Elephas maximus indicus: one gene and its partner. The protein of the gene in region 1 purifies or fractionates together with the protein of each later gene. This does not show direct contact. Links are inferred from orthologs where the notes say so. Each region holds a gene or a part of one and is shown on either strand. Other genes may lie near its edges.

Region 1 (7,625 bases):
GGACCACTGGAAGGGTAGCTGCAGTTCCAGACTTCAATCAGTATTTTAATTACCAAGTCTATATTTAGCAAGACAATGTGGGAGAAAGAAAACGGAAGGAAGGGGTAGGTGGTGAGGGGCCTCAGAGGAGCTGACCCACTTTCTGCACTGGCTGCAGAGCCTGCAGTCCTGGCCAGGAGTTCCCAGCCTTGTGCCCTATCACAAGCCCTGGCAGGCAGCAAGGAGGTGCTTAAGCAGCTACAGCTCTGTGGCAGCTGGAGACCCCATCAAAGAGACACATGCCATCAGTATTGTCCTTTAATCTTCCTCTGCTCTGCAGCCAGGGGGAAGGGGCCCGGCCAGGGATTTCAGGTGAGGTCAGTGTGACTGCAGGGTCACCGCAACAGCCTTGGCTGTGGCGTTGAGCATGGCGGCAGGAAGTCTAGCAGCAGGGAGCACAACAGGGATGTCTCTGGGGACTCTCTGCATGGGCGGGATGTTGGGGCCCTCCAGTGTGTCCAGAATCCCTGAAAGAAGGGTGATGGAAGATAAGCAGGAGTTGGCTGGGACCAGCCCACAGGCTATCTCATCCAGCCCCCCAACCCTGGCAGCTGTTTGCACCCACAGCCACCCCTACCCTGGCCCTCCCGTCACTTACCCTCTACCACCTTGTGGTAGGCAAAATGCAGATAGAGCAGGAAGAGCATGTGCAGGGCAGCCAGGGTGCCACAAAGGAGTAGTCGCTGCGTGGGGCCCACAGTCCGTGACACCAACACTGCCACCTAGGCCCACAGGAAGACAGCTCAGAGGCCTGGATCCAGCGAGGGATGGGGAGAAGACACCCTACCCAAGGCAGAACCATCTTGGACTTTTCCAGCCCATTCAGAACCCTTCATGGGGTTCTACCTCAGCTCTAGGCTGTTCTTCCCAAATCCCTGAGAGAACAGCCCACTCCTGAAAACCCCATTCCCAGCTTACCATGCGCAGGGTGGACAGCCCACCCACCAGCAGCCAGAATAGGTAGAAGAGGGCATGAAGGTGGATGTTGTAGGTGATGAATAGGACAATACAGTGCCCAAAGAGGCCATAGCCCTAGGAAGGAGGATGGTGGAAAGGAAAATCACTCAGGCTGGGCTGGTCTCTGGCCTTCATGGGGACCCTGGGTAATAAAGGGTCCAGTGGCCAGTTCTTCCCATTCCAGGCCCTGGGTGGGGTCCTGTGGAACCAGGACACATGCAGACCAAGGCCTGACTACTCTCTTAAGATTACCCTTGCCCACCACCATGCCTGGCTCCTTACCAGCAGTGCCAGCATCTGGAGCATGGTGATCTGAGCATTGCACAGGTAGGCGAGGAAGTAAATGAAGGACGACACGCCCAGCCAGTAGCCGAAGCAGGTACCAATGGCTGTGCCCATCAGGGTGCCCTCCCGCTGTGGGGCGAAGGCTCTGCTTAGCCCTGAAAGGCCTCTGAGGGCCTTCCTCAAGGACTGCTCCTTCACTTCACTTTACCATCCTCTCCTTGGGCAGCTTCCAACCCAGTTAAGCCACCCCCCAATGTCCTCTGTTTTGCTTACGATAATGGTGTCAGATGTCTTCATCCCATGGAGGAGGATGGCAACCAGCGTGAAGACCAGCATGAGAGGTCCATACAGCTCACCTGCAATTTTCTGTCAATATACCAACTCATTCAGCATGAAGGGTACCATGGCTTTTCTGTTCATGCCTCCCCAGGCTTTGCCTGGTGGCCCCACCCTCTGCCCTGGTGCCTCCCCTCGCTCTCCAGACATGCCACCCACTATTCACCTGTGGGAAGTTGACCATCTTGATAGGGATCATGGACTCCAGGAGCCTGAGAGAGAGGAGAGATAAGAGCAGAGGTAGCACTAAGCTGTGAGGTTTTGGAGGTCAAGGCATGAGTCTTACTCATCTCTCTAATCCCAGGGTAAAGGAAACTCGCCCAGGGGACATGCTAGATGATTCAGGGAGAACAGGGCAGTAAAGAGACAGGGGATGGGGAAATGACTTCCTTCCCCCTAGAAATACTTCCAGGGAGAACATTCCTCTGACACTGTGCTGACTGAAGCAGCACCAATACAGAATTCAGAGACTCTAGCTGGGTCCTGGGGGAAGACCTGACGATGAACCTATTTGACCTGCTCCTCTTTAAAAAACAAGCAAACCTCAGCAGAGCATAATACCCAGCATTCAGGGTTGTGATGGTGAGGCCCTGGGCAAGATTCAGAAGGTGTCCCTAAGGGAAACAGTGCCCCCTGCCTCTTCCTGCTTACCATTCCTCTAGGCACCACTGGGTATTTTCTTGAAAAATCTATCTGAAGTGCTATGAAAATTCCAGACAGAAAAAATAAAAGTACAAGTCATGTCCCCGCTTTCTTCTTAAGTGACCAGCTCCTAATAATACCTTTGATTTTGGCTAAATTTTACCTCCTCTGGGATACCTGGCCTGTCCCATTCCCCAGCCCACCCTGGGTCAGGAGTTCTTCCTGTGTGTCTCCACCATAGCATAAGAGTGCTGTCTTGTAACTGCACACCAGGGCAAGGCTCCCATCTGTCTTCACCACTGAATCAGACACAACAAGAATAGTACTGTACTTAATAAAGAAGTATGATCAATAAATATTTAAGTGGTACTATTTTTTGACAAACATTAGTTAAACTAAGGAACAAAGAACCAAGCCAAGATTAAATCTGTTTCTTGAACAGTCATTCAGCAACTATGCACTGACACTCTGGTTCAGGCTGTTCTGGTGCCGGGAAAAAAAGATAAACAAGAGTCTGCTCTCAAAGAGCTGTTGGTCTGCGGAGACAGACCCAGGAATGAGAAAGTACAGCAGTGCTGAAGTGTTATCTACTAGAGAAAAACAGAGTTCTATAATTTTTTTTTTTTATAGGAACATTGGGAGAGGACAAATGGGGGATGGAAATGAGGAATGGTGAACAAAGAAGTGACATTTGAGTTAGGTTTTGAGGGAAAATGAATCTGCTCATGGAGAAGTGAAGGAAGCCAATGTGTTTAGCGCCATGTCGTGTTCAGTGGGTGGTGAGAGTTATGGTGTGTCTGGGGTACAAGGTGCGATGAGGGGTGGTGGGGTCATGAAGAGCGGGGGTCCTGAGGGCTTGATATCTGGTTGTTGGCTGGATGAAGGACTAGGTGTTAGGAGGGCAGTTTCTGTCAGGAGAAGGATCCTCACCTGCTTCGCACCTGGGCAGGCTCCACATCAAAGTAGGGTCTTAAGATGTCAATGTTGGCGTACAAGCTGAAGGCCCTGGAGGCTTGTCTCTTTCCCGCCTGCCACATCTGAAGCAAGGAAGATGGGGGTGGGAGGTTGGGTATTGTGAGCCTCTTGGCTCTGGGGACTGTTCCCTATTTTTCTGTTGGATTTCTACATGGTTCTAACTGGATAACTTGGAGTGAGCTTCACCAACACCAACTCCAGAACCTGGGACCTGCCTAGATATACTTTTCCCCATGCCAGGGATCCAGCCTTGCTTACCTGATCAGCCACCTGCCTGCTCAGCTGTCCCTTAAAGCCCTTCATGCCCAGGAACTCCCCATCCTCTTCTTCAGCAGCAGCTGCATCAGCGTCTACTTCTTCCTCACGCAGGCGCTGATGCAGCTCACCCATATCCTCAAAGCTGGAACCTGAGGTATCATCCATGTTCTCCATGTCAATCACAGCTGAGCCCCCACCCTGTGAAAACAATGGCTCCTGGAGTGCTGGAATTTTCTGATCCGTCGGTTAAGTACTCCTCTGCTCACCCTAGGGTTTGAGTTTTGTTCTTCCACTGCTGGGGTATGGGTGGGAATCACCAAAGATCCTGCCAATCTCTTCCCACTCATCTGCTCTCAGAACCTTTGGATCCTGGCTTTTGCCCTCTTTTCGAGCCTGGGAAACCTGTCTTCCACTCATGTATTTCTCCTATCTTCCCTATCAAACTATCAAAGGGCAGCAAAAGCACCCATTTCCTTTGTCTTTCACAAGGCGAAGGCATGTCTGTGCACAGTGTTTTCAGCCAGTGCCAGTTATTACCCCTTCCCCCGTCATGCCTGACCCCGGCCAACCTCCCAACTTGCCCCTAAAGCAAAAGCACGCTCTTTCTAACGCCTCGGGAAGGCCCAGAGACCTGTGGCCCTCCAGCCGGAGTATCTGGCCTTTCAGGTCAGCACTAACCCCACCGACTTGGTTTGCACTGAGACCCAAAACAGTGAAGAACTGTTGCAACTAGAGCAGACGGTACGGAGGTTAGGGACGGACTTCTAGGCCCCGAGAAAGTTCCCAAGACACTTCAGGACGGTCGCCAGCCTTGGGGGCAGCCGGAGCCTTGGGGCCATTACCTGGATGTTTTCTTCAAATCCTCCCCACTCCGGGCCAGCCCCGTTTCGGGCGCCGCCGGCCGGCGCCGCCGCAGCTGCCATGTCCCTCGAGGGCTCCCGTCGCTGAAGCCCGCGCTACCCCGCGCGCGGAGAAGTGGGCGAGACGTGGGCCTGAGGGAGGGAGATGTCCACGGGCAAGAAGGAGAGATGGAATCAGCCGGAACCCAAAAACGAAAAACCCGGATGTTTGGCTCAAACTGACTTCCGGAAGTTTGGGACGTGGGAGGAGGCGGGGCAAACCCTCGCGATACTTAAGCCTCCAGGCGAGCGTTCGTTGCCGAGGAGACGGTAGGACTAGCTCGCGCTCGCCAGTTTGACGCTCTAGCCACGTGGGTCGGTTGAAGATGGCGGCGGCCCAGGCAGTGGAAGAAATGCGGGACCGCGTGGTTCTTGGGGAGTTCGGGGTTCGCAATGTAAGTCTTGTGGTCTTGAACTCCGGAGAGAGAAGGAGAGCGAAACAGGAATGAGTTGGAGTCGGAGTGGCGACAGACTCGTCTCTCTTGCTCTTTAGGTTCATACCACCGACTTCCCCGGTAACTATTCCGGTTATGACGATGCCTGGGACCAGGAGCGCTTCGAGAAGGTGAAGGAGGAGTTGGAGGATTGGAAGTACTGGGAGGGGAAGCGATTAGGGTAGGGTAAGGTGGGTACGGACGGAGGTGTCTGGAGAGGGTGTGTGTGGCCGGACCTTGTGATCTGAACAGCCTGTGCCTCAGAAGCTGCCCTTAAGGCTACCTTTATTCATCAGACGTTTATTGAGCCCCGTTCCCATCCCAGCGATGTGCTAGGCGCTTGCGTGTAGTAGGCCGAATTAGACACAGTTTCTGCCCTGTTCTGTGATTCTTGTTGGGGAATCATTTCGCGTAAACAAATGATTCCTGTCTAACTTTGTAAGGCGGTTGATAGCAATATAGACACAGGGTGTGCATGGGGGCGGGGGGAGGGTTAGGAAAATTTCCTGAAGGAGATAACATCTAAATTGGGCCTTGAACAAGTTGTGAACAGCTAAGTGTGAAGGAACTAAGAATATGAACTAAATTATAAAGGCGTGAGGTGTACTCCTGGAATGTTCAAACAGTTCAGTATTGCTAGAATGTAAAATGGACCAGCAGGAGTGGTAGGCAAGATTGGAATTCGTTGTAGGCACTGTAGGTGACAGGTAACTTTTGAAGAGTTTTTAAGCAGACTTGGTAAGATTCATAACCCTGATGGCTGGGAGAGAATGAACTAAGATTATGATTGCAGAAATTGAACAAAGAGGGGAATAGAGGGTCAAAGTGGTGATTGATTTGATGTGGGCTGTGAGGGGCAAGGGAACCCTGGTAGTGTAGTGGTTAAGTGCTGGGGCTGCTAACAGTTCGAATCCACCAGGCGCTCCTTGGATACTCTATGGGGCAGTTCTACTCTGTCCTATAGGGTTGCTGTGAGTCGGAATTGACTCATGACAGCAGTGGGTTTGGTGTTTTTTTGTTTGTGAGGACCAAGTGTAAAATAACCTGGCTTAGGGAACTTTGATGGATGGTGATGTTATTGTTTGATAAGGAGGAATAGATCTGAGGAAGAGGAATGACGATGTATTCAATTTTCTGCAGGCAGAGCAGTCTAGCAGGCTAGTAGAACATGTTTGAAATGAGATCAGAAATGATACATAATTTTTGGAGTTGTGAGTGTACAGATGAGTTGCTAAAATTGTGTGGTTGAGGTCACCCAAGTGAGAGACAGGAACTTGGGAAGTAGTAATATTTAGGGGATGGGTGGAAAAATAGTGAATTTAGAAAAAATCGTAAGATAACTAGAAGATTGGTGCTCAGAAACCAAGGGACTAGTAGAATTTTAAAAAGGAAGGATTTTATTAAAAAATTCCACATGTAGTAGAGGATTCCAGCAAGGTAAGGACTGAGTAGTATTACTTGCCCTAAGTAATATGGAAGCTTCTGTTCTTTAATAGAACGGCCTCCGTGAGATGGTTTGGCTGGAGGCAGATTACAGAGGTTTTGAATGAACGGAAGACAAAAACAGAGAAACTTTTCAACTATGAAAGGATTGGGGGAGAAAGGGACATCTGGGCATGGAGGAGGTTTTTGGATTTTAGAGGATGTTAAAAAAAACATTAAGGGAAATATCTAGGGAGGGGGGAGCATAGAGACCAGGCCTCAGTGTTTTTTCCTGTCCCTCCAGAATTTCCGTGTGGATGTGGTACACATGGATGAAAACTCATTGGAGTTCGACATGGTGGGAATTGATGCAGCCATCGCCAATGCTTTTCGACGCATTCTATTAGCTGAGGTATCAATGGATGTAGCGGCAAGGTTGTATGGGGAAGCTTGCTGAGGATCTCAAAGTGACCCTCCCACCCTTGTTTTTCCTGCAAATTTGCTGAGCATTCCTTCTGGTCATTCTTCTTATCTCTTTATCAAGCATTTTTCTAGGAAGAGCTCTCCCTGTCACAGGGTGGGAGTGAAGAGCCTACTGGGTCTTTGCAGATGGGTGATTGGTGATTGTTTCCTTGAGCAGGTGCCAACCATGGCTGTGGAAAAGGTTCTGGTGTACAACAACACATCCATAGTCCAGGATGAGATCCTTGCTCACCGGCTGGGACTCATTCCCATTCATGCAGATCCTCGTCTTTTTGAGTATCGGAATCAAGGTAAGGGTTTGGGAAAATAAAATTTTGGGAAAAGGAGGGCAGCTTTCCTCTAAAGTAAGATTCTGGAGTCAGACTGCCTGAGTTCAAAACCTGCATTTGATCTTGGAAAAGTTAATCTTTTAGTACATCAGTGTTTTCCACCTGTGAAATGAAGATAATACCTGTTTCATGAGTTTGTCGAGAGGATTAAATGAAAAGTGTATGTAAAGCCCTCAGCATAGTGCCTGACACTCAAATGGTCACTAGTTTTCTAAGAGTTAATCTCTTTCTCTTGCATTTACGCAGAAGATGAAGAAGGCACAGAGATAGACACTCTGCAGTTTCGGCTACAAGTCAGGTGCACTCGGAACCCCCACGCTTCTAAAGATTCCTCTGATCCCAGTGAACTCTATGTGAACCACAAAGGTGAGCGGTGGTAATGTGCGGAAGAGAGCCTGCCTGTTGCGGGTACGAGGAGTATGGCTTTAGGGGCTGAAGTCTTCTGACATGCTTCATTCTCTAGTGTACACCAGGCACATGACATGGGTGCCCCTGGGGAACCAGGCTGATGTCTTCCCAGAGGGCACTATCCGGCCAGTGCACGACGACATTCTTATTGCTCAGCT
Region 2 (7,317 bases), on another chromosome or scaffold:
CTTTCCAGGTGTGAGATCACCTCCCGGGAGTACTGTGACTTCATGAGGGGCTACTTTCACGAGGAGGCCACACTTTGCTCTCAGGTAGGTCTTGGGGCAGAGGGTGATCCCCCCCGCCACCGTGGGTGCTAATGGCCACTCTGTGCAGGTGCACTGCATGGATGATGTGTGCGGGCTCCTGCCCTTCCTCAACCCTGAGGTGCCCGACCAGTTCTACCGCCTGTGGTTGTCCCTCTTCTTGCACGCAGGGCAAGTGACACACTGGGCATGGTGGGGTGTGCTGGGGAGTGGCCAGGCTGGGATGGCAGGCTCCCACCGTCCTGAGTATCCCCTCCCCTCCCCCACCTCAGGATCCTGCACTGCCTGGTGTCCGTCTGCTTCCAGATGACCATCCTGCGGGACTTGGAGAAGCTTGCCGGTTGGCACCGCATCTCCATCATCTACCTGCTGAGTGGCATCACTGGCAACCTGGCCAGTGCCATCTTCTTGCCTTACCGTGCAGAGGTGAGGTGTCCCTCGGGTGGGTACACTCATGCACATCTGTCCACGTCCAGCACTGGATCAGGTCCCTCTGTTTGGCCCTTGGTTCTGATTGGTTCCAGGCCAGGGAGGTGGGGCAAGAGGAAGTGAGACCTGGGTCAGCTCCGGTGCCTCGAACCCCCACAGGTGGGCCCGGCTGGGTCGCAGTTTGGCATTCTGGCCTGCCTCTTTGTGGAGCTGTTCCAGAGCTGGCAGATCCTGGCGAGTCCGTGGCGTGCTTTCTTCAAGCTGCTGGCTGTGGTACTCTTCCTCTTCACCTTTGGGCTGCTGCCTTGGATCGACAACTTTGCCCACATCTCTGGCTTTGTCAGTGGCCTCTTCCTCTCCTTTGCCTTCCTGCCATACATCAGCTTTGGCAAGTTTGACCTGTACCGCAAGCGCTGCCAGATCATCATCTTCCAGGCCGTGTTCCTGGGGTTGCTCGGCAGCCTGGTGGTCCTCTTCTACTTCTACCCTGTACGTTGTGAGTGGTGTGAGTTCCTCACCTGTATCCCCTTCACTGACAAGTTCTGTGAGAAGTACGAGCTAGATACGCAGCTGCACTGAGCTAGGCCCGAGGGGTGGGGGCTGCAGCCATGCTCCAGCAGGCCTGGAGCCCGGTGCCAAGCCTGCCTCTGCCCTTGCTGGCTGGCCAGATCATGTTTCTGAACACAGACCTCTGTGCCTTGTTCACTTCTGTTGAACCTCTCATGTCACCATGTTTGTTACACTAATGCCCATAATCACCTTCTAACTAGTCTCTTTTGACAACCACCTCACGCGGCCAGTAAACGAATGGGAGCGTTTTAGCTGCCGTTACCTTAATCCTAGCTGCCTCCTCCTTCTGGGATCCGATCGTGTGGCTGTGGAGGGAGGTCCTTCAGCCGGGTGGATGCACGGTGCCCTTCCTTTGGTGACTGGTAGGTGATGGTGGGGTGGGGTGCCCCAATGATGCCCTTGCCCTCAGCCCTGCTGGAGAGCCCCCATGCTTGGTCCAGCCAACAGCTGTAGTTTCAGTCCCATGCTCCCTCCTTTTCACCCAGTGAGCCCCAAGGGGCCTCTGGTCCAGCCCATATCTGTGTTACACACATTCTACCCTGGTCCCACAAACAGAAACAAAGACAGCTGCTCTGCTTGTCCCCCTTGCTGTACAGATCACGGCATGAGCAGTTTGCCATCTGGGGAACCATGCAGCCACAGGGCACAGGTGGTCACCCTGGACCTCAGGGCCCATGTGTTCCAACCCTGCTCCCTTTCTCCACCTCCCTATGGGGCAGCATTTGTACCTCCTGGCGGGGGTACTCTGGCTTTTTGACTTTCAAACTAAAAAGCAAACATTTATTTTGTATATGAGGCTGTCCTGTGGGATCCACATGTAGTCAGGTTTGGGCCTCAGGAGGGCTTCAGATCAAGTAAATGGAAGAGAAATGAGGACCTGACAGTCATGGAGCTCACATTGTTGGTTCCAGATGGGGGAGGAAGGAGGAGGCAGAGCACAACTGGGGTGAGGCTGCAACCTGCCTTTCTGTGAAGGAGACAGTGGCCAAGGGTAATGTCCTGAGGAGAAGAGTTTGTCCCCCACACCTCTGTCCTTGCTGGAGGCTCACTTTTGTCTCAGCTTTTTGATAAAGGAGACCTCATCCCGATTCCGGATGCCGTAACTGAAAGAGAAAGAAAGGTCGGATGTGTCTGATGGGCAGAAAGATACACCAGTGACTCCTACCTGGGGCCTGTGAAAAAGAAGGGAAAGAAAGGGGAGAAGAGGGGGTGGTGCCAGGGAGAAGGAGGCAGAGCGAGGAAGCGGCTCATGCTGTTCAGTGGGTGGCCCTTCCCCTCTACATGCTTACATTTCCCTCCATCTGACCTGTGCACATCCACAGGACCCTGATGTTCTCACAGTGGTGAGAGCCAGCCAGGACTGCTGTAGCCAACTCCTCTGCCTGCCCTTTTAGTGGGGATGGCTGAGATCCGGCACATAGGTGTTTTTGGGAAGCCCCTTCCTTTACGAGAGTACAGGGACTAGAGGCAGACAAGGACCAGACACCCCTCAGCAGCTCAAGATGTGGCCAGGACTTACTCTCGGAGCTTCTTCCTGTCTTCTGTGAGCTTTTCTCCCACAAAGGTCAGATAATAGGTCCTCCACACGTAGGACCTGCAAGAGGGAGACTCAGGAAACAAGGAGTTCTCTTCCTGCATGATGTGCACACCAGGCCTGAAGGAGCTACAAGGGGCACTGGTCCCAAAGGGCTGCATAGGGGTCGAACACCCTTGGCAGAAATGCACTGGTGCAGAGTAGGGGAGAGAGAGAGAGAGAGAGAGAGAGAGGGAGGGAGGGAGGGAGAGAGGGAGGGAGGGAGGGAGGGGTGGGCCCTGACCGAGCAGTGCTGTCTGTAACCAGGGAGACCATTTCATGTCACACTGGAAATGCCTAAAGGTGCCCCCAAGTGAAGAGTCAAGCAGCGGAGGCGGGACAACACAGATGAGCATGTTTAGAAAGGAGGCAGTGGCAGGAATCCATGGAAGACCTGTCTCTGCCTGAAAGAGCTCGAGACAGGGCACTCACCCCTCAGTCATGGCAGAGGACCAGAGAGCACAGGTCCAGCACGTGTGCATGCTGGCTTGGGAATTGCTCCACTCACCAGCTGATGTGCTGAATACCCCCTTCACGCTCCTGCCGCAGCTGCACATATCTTTGGATGGCCTTCTTCAGGTCCAGGACTGTGGCGTTCTGCACGACGACCACAGCTGCAGCCAGGGATACAAATGGGAGAAGACCTCAGGTCAGTGGGTACCACAGGCCAACCTCGGGGCAGGGCAGGTTCGTGGTGGCCTTGATGTCTCTGGCAGCCCTGAGAAAGCACAGTGGCAGGGAGGAGGGCATCACTTACGCATGACCTCTCCGTCCATCTTGCACACACAGACAGTCATGGCCTGGCCATACTCCAGTGCTATCTGGGAGTTGACCTCTTCCAAAGTAACCTGGAAAAGACAAAAGTGGGGTGCTCTTCTCATCATCCCAAATGACAATGAACAAAACAAGTTGACAGAGGCCAAAAAGGGGTGTCCATATTTTACGACAAGCAAGTAGAGGAAAGGATCCTTGCTTATATTAGGGCTCGCAGTTCTTCAGCACCCCGATCTCGAATTTCACCCATACTTTTCAAGTTTAAGGATCAAAGTGGACAGAGGCTCCAGTAAAAGAAGGGCACAGAAACAGGGTCGCTATGAGTCGGAACCGACTCGACGGCACCTAACAACAACAGAAATAGGCAGGAAAATGCGCCCTCCGAGGACCAGCCCTGTGCTTCCTCCAGCTCAGGGGCTGCAATATCCACACGACCTCGGGGTCCGCTCCCCGCCGCTCCTGCCCCGGCCTCGCTGGGAAAGACCCCGGCTGCGCACCTGGATCGGCAGATCGCAGAGCAGGGGGTCCTGCACCACCATGGCGAGACCCTCCTGGAACACGTCCACCACCTCCGAGTGCGGGAGCGCCTCGTCGTCGTCCTCGTCGACCTCCGACGCCTCGGGACGCGCCTCAGCCTCAGCCCCCTCCAGGGCTGCGTCCGCCGTGGGTCTCTCGCCCCGGCCAGTCGGCGAGAGGAAGACGAATTGCGTGCACAAAAGGACTGTGGACCGCAGAGCAAGCCTGGACAGCCATTGGTGCGCTTGGGGGCGGGGCGGGCCACCTTGACCAATGAGAAGTGCAAGACCGTCTGCTGCTGGGCACGCTGGGAGCGCGAGGCCAGCGTGCCTATTGGTGGCCTGAGGAGTGCCTTGCCTGGGCCAATGAGAGCTCGAGGCCGGGCGAGCGCCGGCGCCCAGCGGACGCGGAGGTTGCCGGGAATCAGGATGCTGCAGGGGCTGGCGGAATCGGGCTGATTCGCCGGCTATGCTGCTTTTCTGCCCGGGCTGCGGAAACGGGCTGATTGTGGAGGAGGGGCAGCGCTGCCACCGCTTCGCTTGCAATACCTGCCCTTACGTGCACAACATCACCCGCAAGGTGGGTCCCACCCTCACCCGCTATCCGCTCATGCCCATGTCGGCTCTGCCTTTGAGACGATCGGAGCCAGCCTCTAATCCCGTAGAACAGTCCCGGGGTTATCGCAGAAAAATGCTGGCTAGGCTCCCTGCGCAGTGTGCTCTTCACTGAGCCGAGTCAAGTCCCAGCAGTCCGTGCTCAGAAACCTCCAGTGGTTCCCGGCCGGCTGGGAGTAAAAGCAGTTCTTACAGGGCACCCCCAGGCTCTAGCCCTGACCCCGCCCGCCTGCTTCTCGGATTTCGCCTCCTCACGTCCTTCTCCCTCTCGCTCTTTTTCCCTAACAGCACCGGCCACTGCGGTATCTCCCGTCATGCTCCGGCGCTGCTACCTGCAGGGCCTTTGCATAGGTTCTTCAGCTGGGCGCACTTTTGCTCTGGATCCACGTGACTTGGTGGTCCCGTCTTTACTTAAATGATTACACTAAAGTTACAGCCCTCTCAATTTTATTCTCCTACCCGGTTTTATTTTTTCCATGGGACACGTACCTTCTAATATACTTTATAATTTACTCATGTGCTTTGTTTATTAATACTAAAACATAAGCTGCAGGAGTGCAGGGAGTTTTTCTCTGTTCTGTCCCTTTCTGTATCCTAGTCTGAATGCCTGGAATGGAACCTGCATTAGAATGGGTGTTTAGTAAAAGAAGGCTGCATACTGTACTATAGGAGCCCTGGTGGCACAGTGGTTAGGCGCTAGGCTGCTAACCCAAACGTTGGCGGTTTAAACCCACCAGCTGCCTCTCGGAGAGAAAGATGTCGCAGTCTATTTCCGAAAAGATTTACAGCCTTGGAAATCCTATGGGGCAGTTCTCTGTCCTAGAGGGTCTCTCTGAGTTGGAATTGATTCTGTGGCAATGGGTTTGGTTTTGGGTATACTGTATTATAAGTGGACAATATTTTAGTATTTTTCCATTGATAATACATCTTGAGGAGCCCTGGTCGTGCAGTGTTTAAGAGCTATGGCTGCTAACCAAAAGGTCGGCAGTTCAAATCCACCAGCTGCTCCCTGGGAAACTCTATGGGCAGTTCTACTGTGTTGTATAGGATTGCTGTGAGTGAGAATCAGTGCAACAGCATTGGGTTTAATACATCTGGAACACTATACTTTTCAGAAGTAGAGTATGTTTGTGCTGCCTCAGTTTTGTTATTTGCATACACTCTAGTGTATAACTGTGTTGTGGGAGTTTAGAGTCCCAAAAGACGGGAAGAGCGAACCCTTATGTAACCCTGAAAGTTTCAGGGATGTCTGATAAAAGAAGCCAACTGTAAGCTGCTTTGAAACCTCTCTCTACCTGGGTGGGGGGTGTCTGGGCTACCCAGCTAAGTGGTATTCTTTGGTTTCCATTTTATACGTTTCTCTCATATTGGATTATCATGTGCCCTGGAGAGGTGGGAGAGAAGGAGGGCCACACCTAACCCATTTTTCTTCCTCTGATCATCCCAGGGAAACCCTGGTGGCATAGTGGTTAAGTGCTACAGCTGCTAACCAAAAGGTCGGCAGTTTGAACCTGCCAGGCGCTCCTTCGAAACTCTATGGCACAGTTCCACTCTGTCCTATAGGGTCGCTATGAGTCGGAATTGACTCGACGGAAATGGGTTTTTTTTTTTTTTTGGTAATCCTCCCAGAGATCTGTGACTGCTCAAACTACCCCTCTCCTCTTGGTGGGCAACCTGTTCACCAGAAAACCAAACCCACTGCCGTTGAGTCGATTCCGACTCATAGTGACCCTATAGAACAGAGTAGAACTGCGCCATAGAGTTTCCAAGGAGCACCTGGCGGGTTCAAACCGCCGACCTCTTGGTTAGTAGCCAGCAGCCATAGCGCTTAACAACTATACAACCAGGGTTTCCAACCTGGTCACAGGTTCTCTATATTCACAGCCCTGGCCTGTGAGAGCAGGAACTTTGTTGTTATTTACTGTTCCTCCACTGCTTGTTGGAGGAAGCAAGTCTGGGAAGACACCTGAGGACTGTTCTGGTTTGGTGGCCCAGGGTTTGTACCAATCACTTCCTTGGAGAGTCTGAAGACTTTTTGTTTGTTAGGTGACAAATCGGAAGTATCCCAAGCTGAAAGAAGTAGATGATGTACTTGGGGGAGCAGCTGCCTGGGAGAATGTCGACTCCACTGCAGGTGAGGGGAGCTCTTTTCATTACAAAGCTGTAGAGAATTACAAGGCTGCCCGCTGCATCTCCATGTCAGAGTCTGTAACGGTGTACTTCTCATGGGGCTTCTAAAAGTAGAAGTCATACTGTGTGCTTTCTTCTTTAAAAATTTATTCGTAAGACACATAATATTGGTATAACCCTTGGAGTCATACAGACTGGGTTAGATTCTTGGTGACTTTTTGTCATGGGGCCTTGGTGAGCCCCTTGGCCTCTCTGGGGCTGATACATGCTCATGGGCTGTGCAAAGATTAAGTGAGTTTTACAGCGCTTGAGTTCAGGAAGCACTCAGCAGATGGTAGCTGGGGTCACAGTGGCAATAAAAATCAGAGTATAAGGAGAAAATATGGTCTTTTTGTTTGAATGTTTAAATGTTTAATCACTCCTTGCCGAGAGAGATAGCTGTGACCAGGGAAGGAAAGAGGAGAGCCCCAGATCTAACCTGTATGGAGAGGGGGAAGTGCTAACTCAAGGTTAGCACTCCTTTTTCTGTCCTATAGAGAGGAACATCCAAATTCGCTAGGTTAAAGATTAACATCTGCAGAATCTGCTGTGGAAAGATGAAATGTGTGCTCAGTGTTGGGAATGTTCTTTTTA

What was found. The genes of interacting proteins can lie anywhere in the genome.
Region 2: the proteins of POLR1C (region 1) and POLR3K purify together in Homo sapiens (affinity purification with mass spectrometry; 4 studies listed by BioGRID and IntAct, counting the BioPlex papers as one, with this or other methods). This does not show direct contact. The link is inferred for Elephas maximus indicus from reciprocal best matches to the Homo sapiens genes POLR1C and POLR3K.

The regions. Positions count from the first base shown.
Region 1 is NC_064819.1:107,947,451-107,955,075, forward strand, and holds the start of POLR1C (DNA-directed RNA polymerases I and III subunit RPAC1), read left to right. Parts: upstream 1-4,552; 5' UTR 4,553-4,717; coding exon 4,718-4,786; intron 4,787-4,884; coding exon 4,885-4,956; intron 4,957-6,201; exon of another isoform or gene 6,202-6,551; coding exon 6,552-6,659; exon of another isoform or gene 6,660-6,884; coding exon 6,885-7,020; exon of another isoform or gene 7,021-7,305; coding exon 7,306-7,425; exon of another isoform or gene 7,426-7,522; coding exon 7,523-7,625. Other genes in the region: protein YIPF3, read right to left, coding at 358-506, 638-761, 958-1,071, 1,279-1,410, 1,555-1,647, 1,784-1,829, 3,190-3,296, 3,493-3,690 and 1 more. UniProt on the Homo sapiens protein: DNA-dependent RNA polymerase catalyzes the transcription of DNA into RNA using the four ribonucleoside triphosphates as substrates.
Region 2 is NC_064830.1:57,373,868-57,381,184, reverse strand, and holds the start of POLR3K (DNA-directed RNA polymerase III subunit RPC10), read left to right. Parts: upstream 1-4,313; 5' UTR 4,314-4,408; coding exon 4,409-4,519; intron 4,520-6,600; coding exon 6,601-6,688; intron 6,689-7,317. Other genes in the region: RHBDF1 (inactive rhomboid protein 1), read left to right, coding at 9-84, 149-249, 351-504, 667-996, 2,918-3,058; SNRNP25 (U11/U12 small nuclear ribonucleoprotein 25 kDa protein), read right to left, coding at 2,123-2,180, 2,597-2,671, 3,159-3,264, 3,408-3,498, 3,922-3,963. UniProt on the Homo sapiens protein: Core component of RNA polymerase III (Pol III) which synthesizes small non-coding RNAs using the four ribonucleoside triphosphates as substrates. Can mediate Pol I proofreading of the nascent RNA transcript.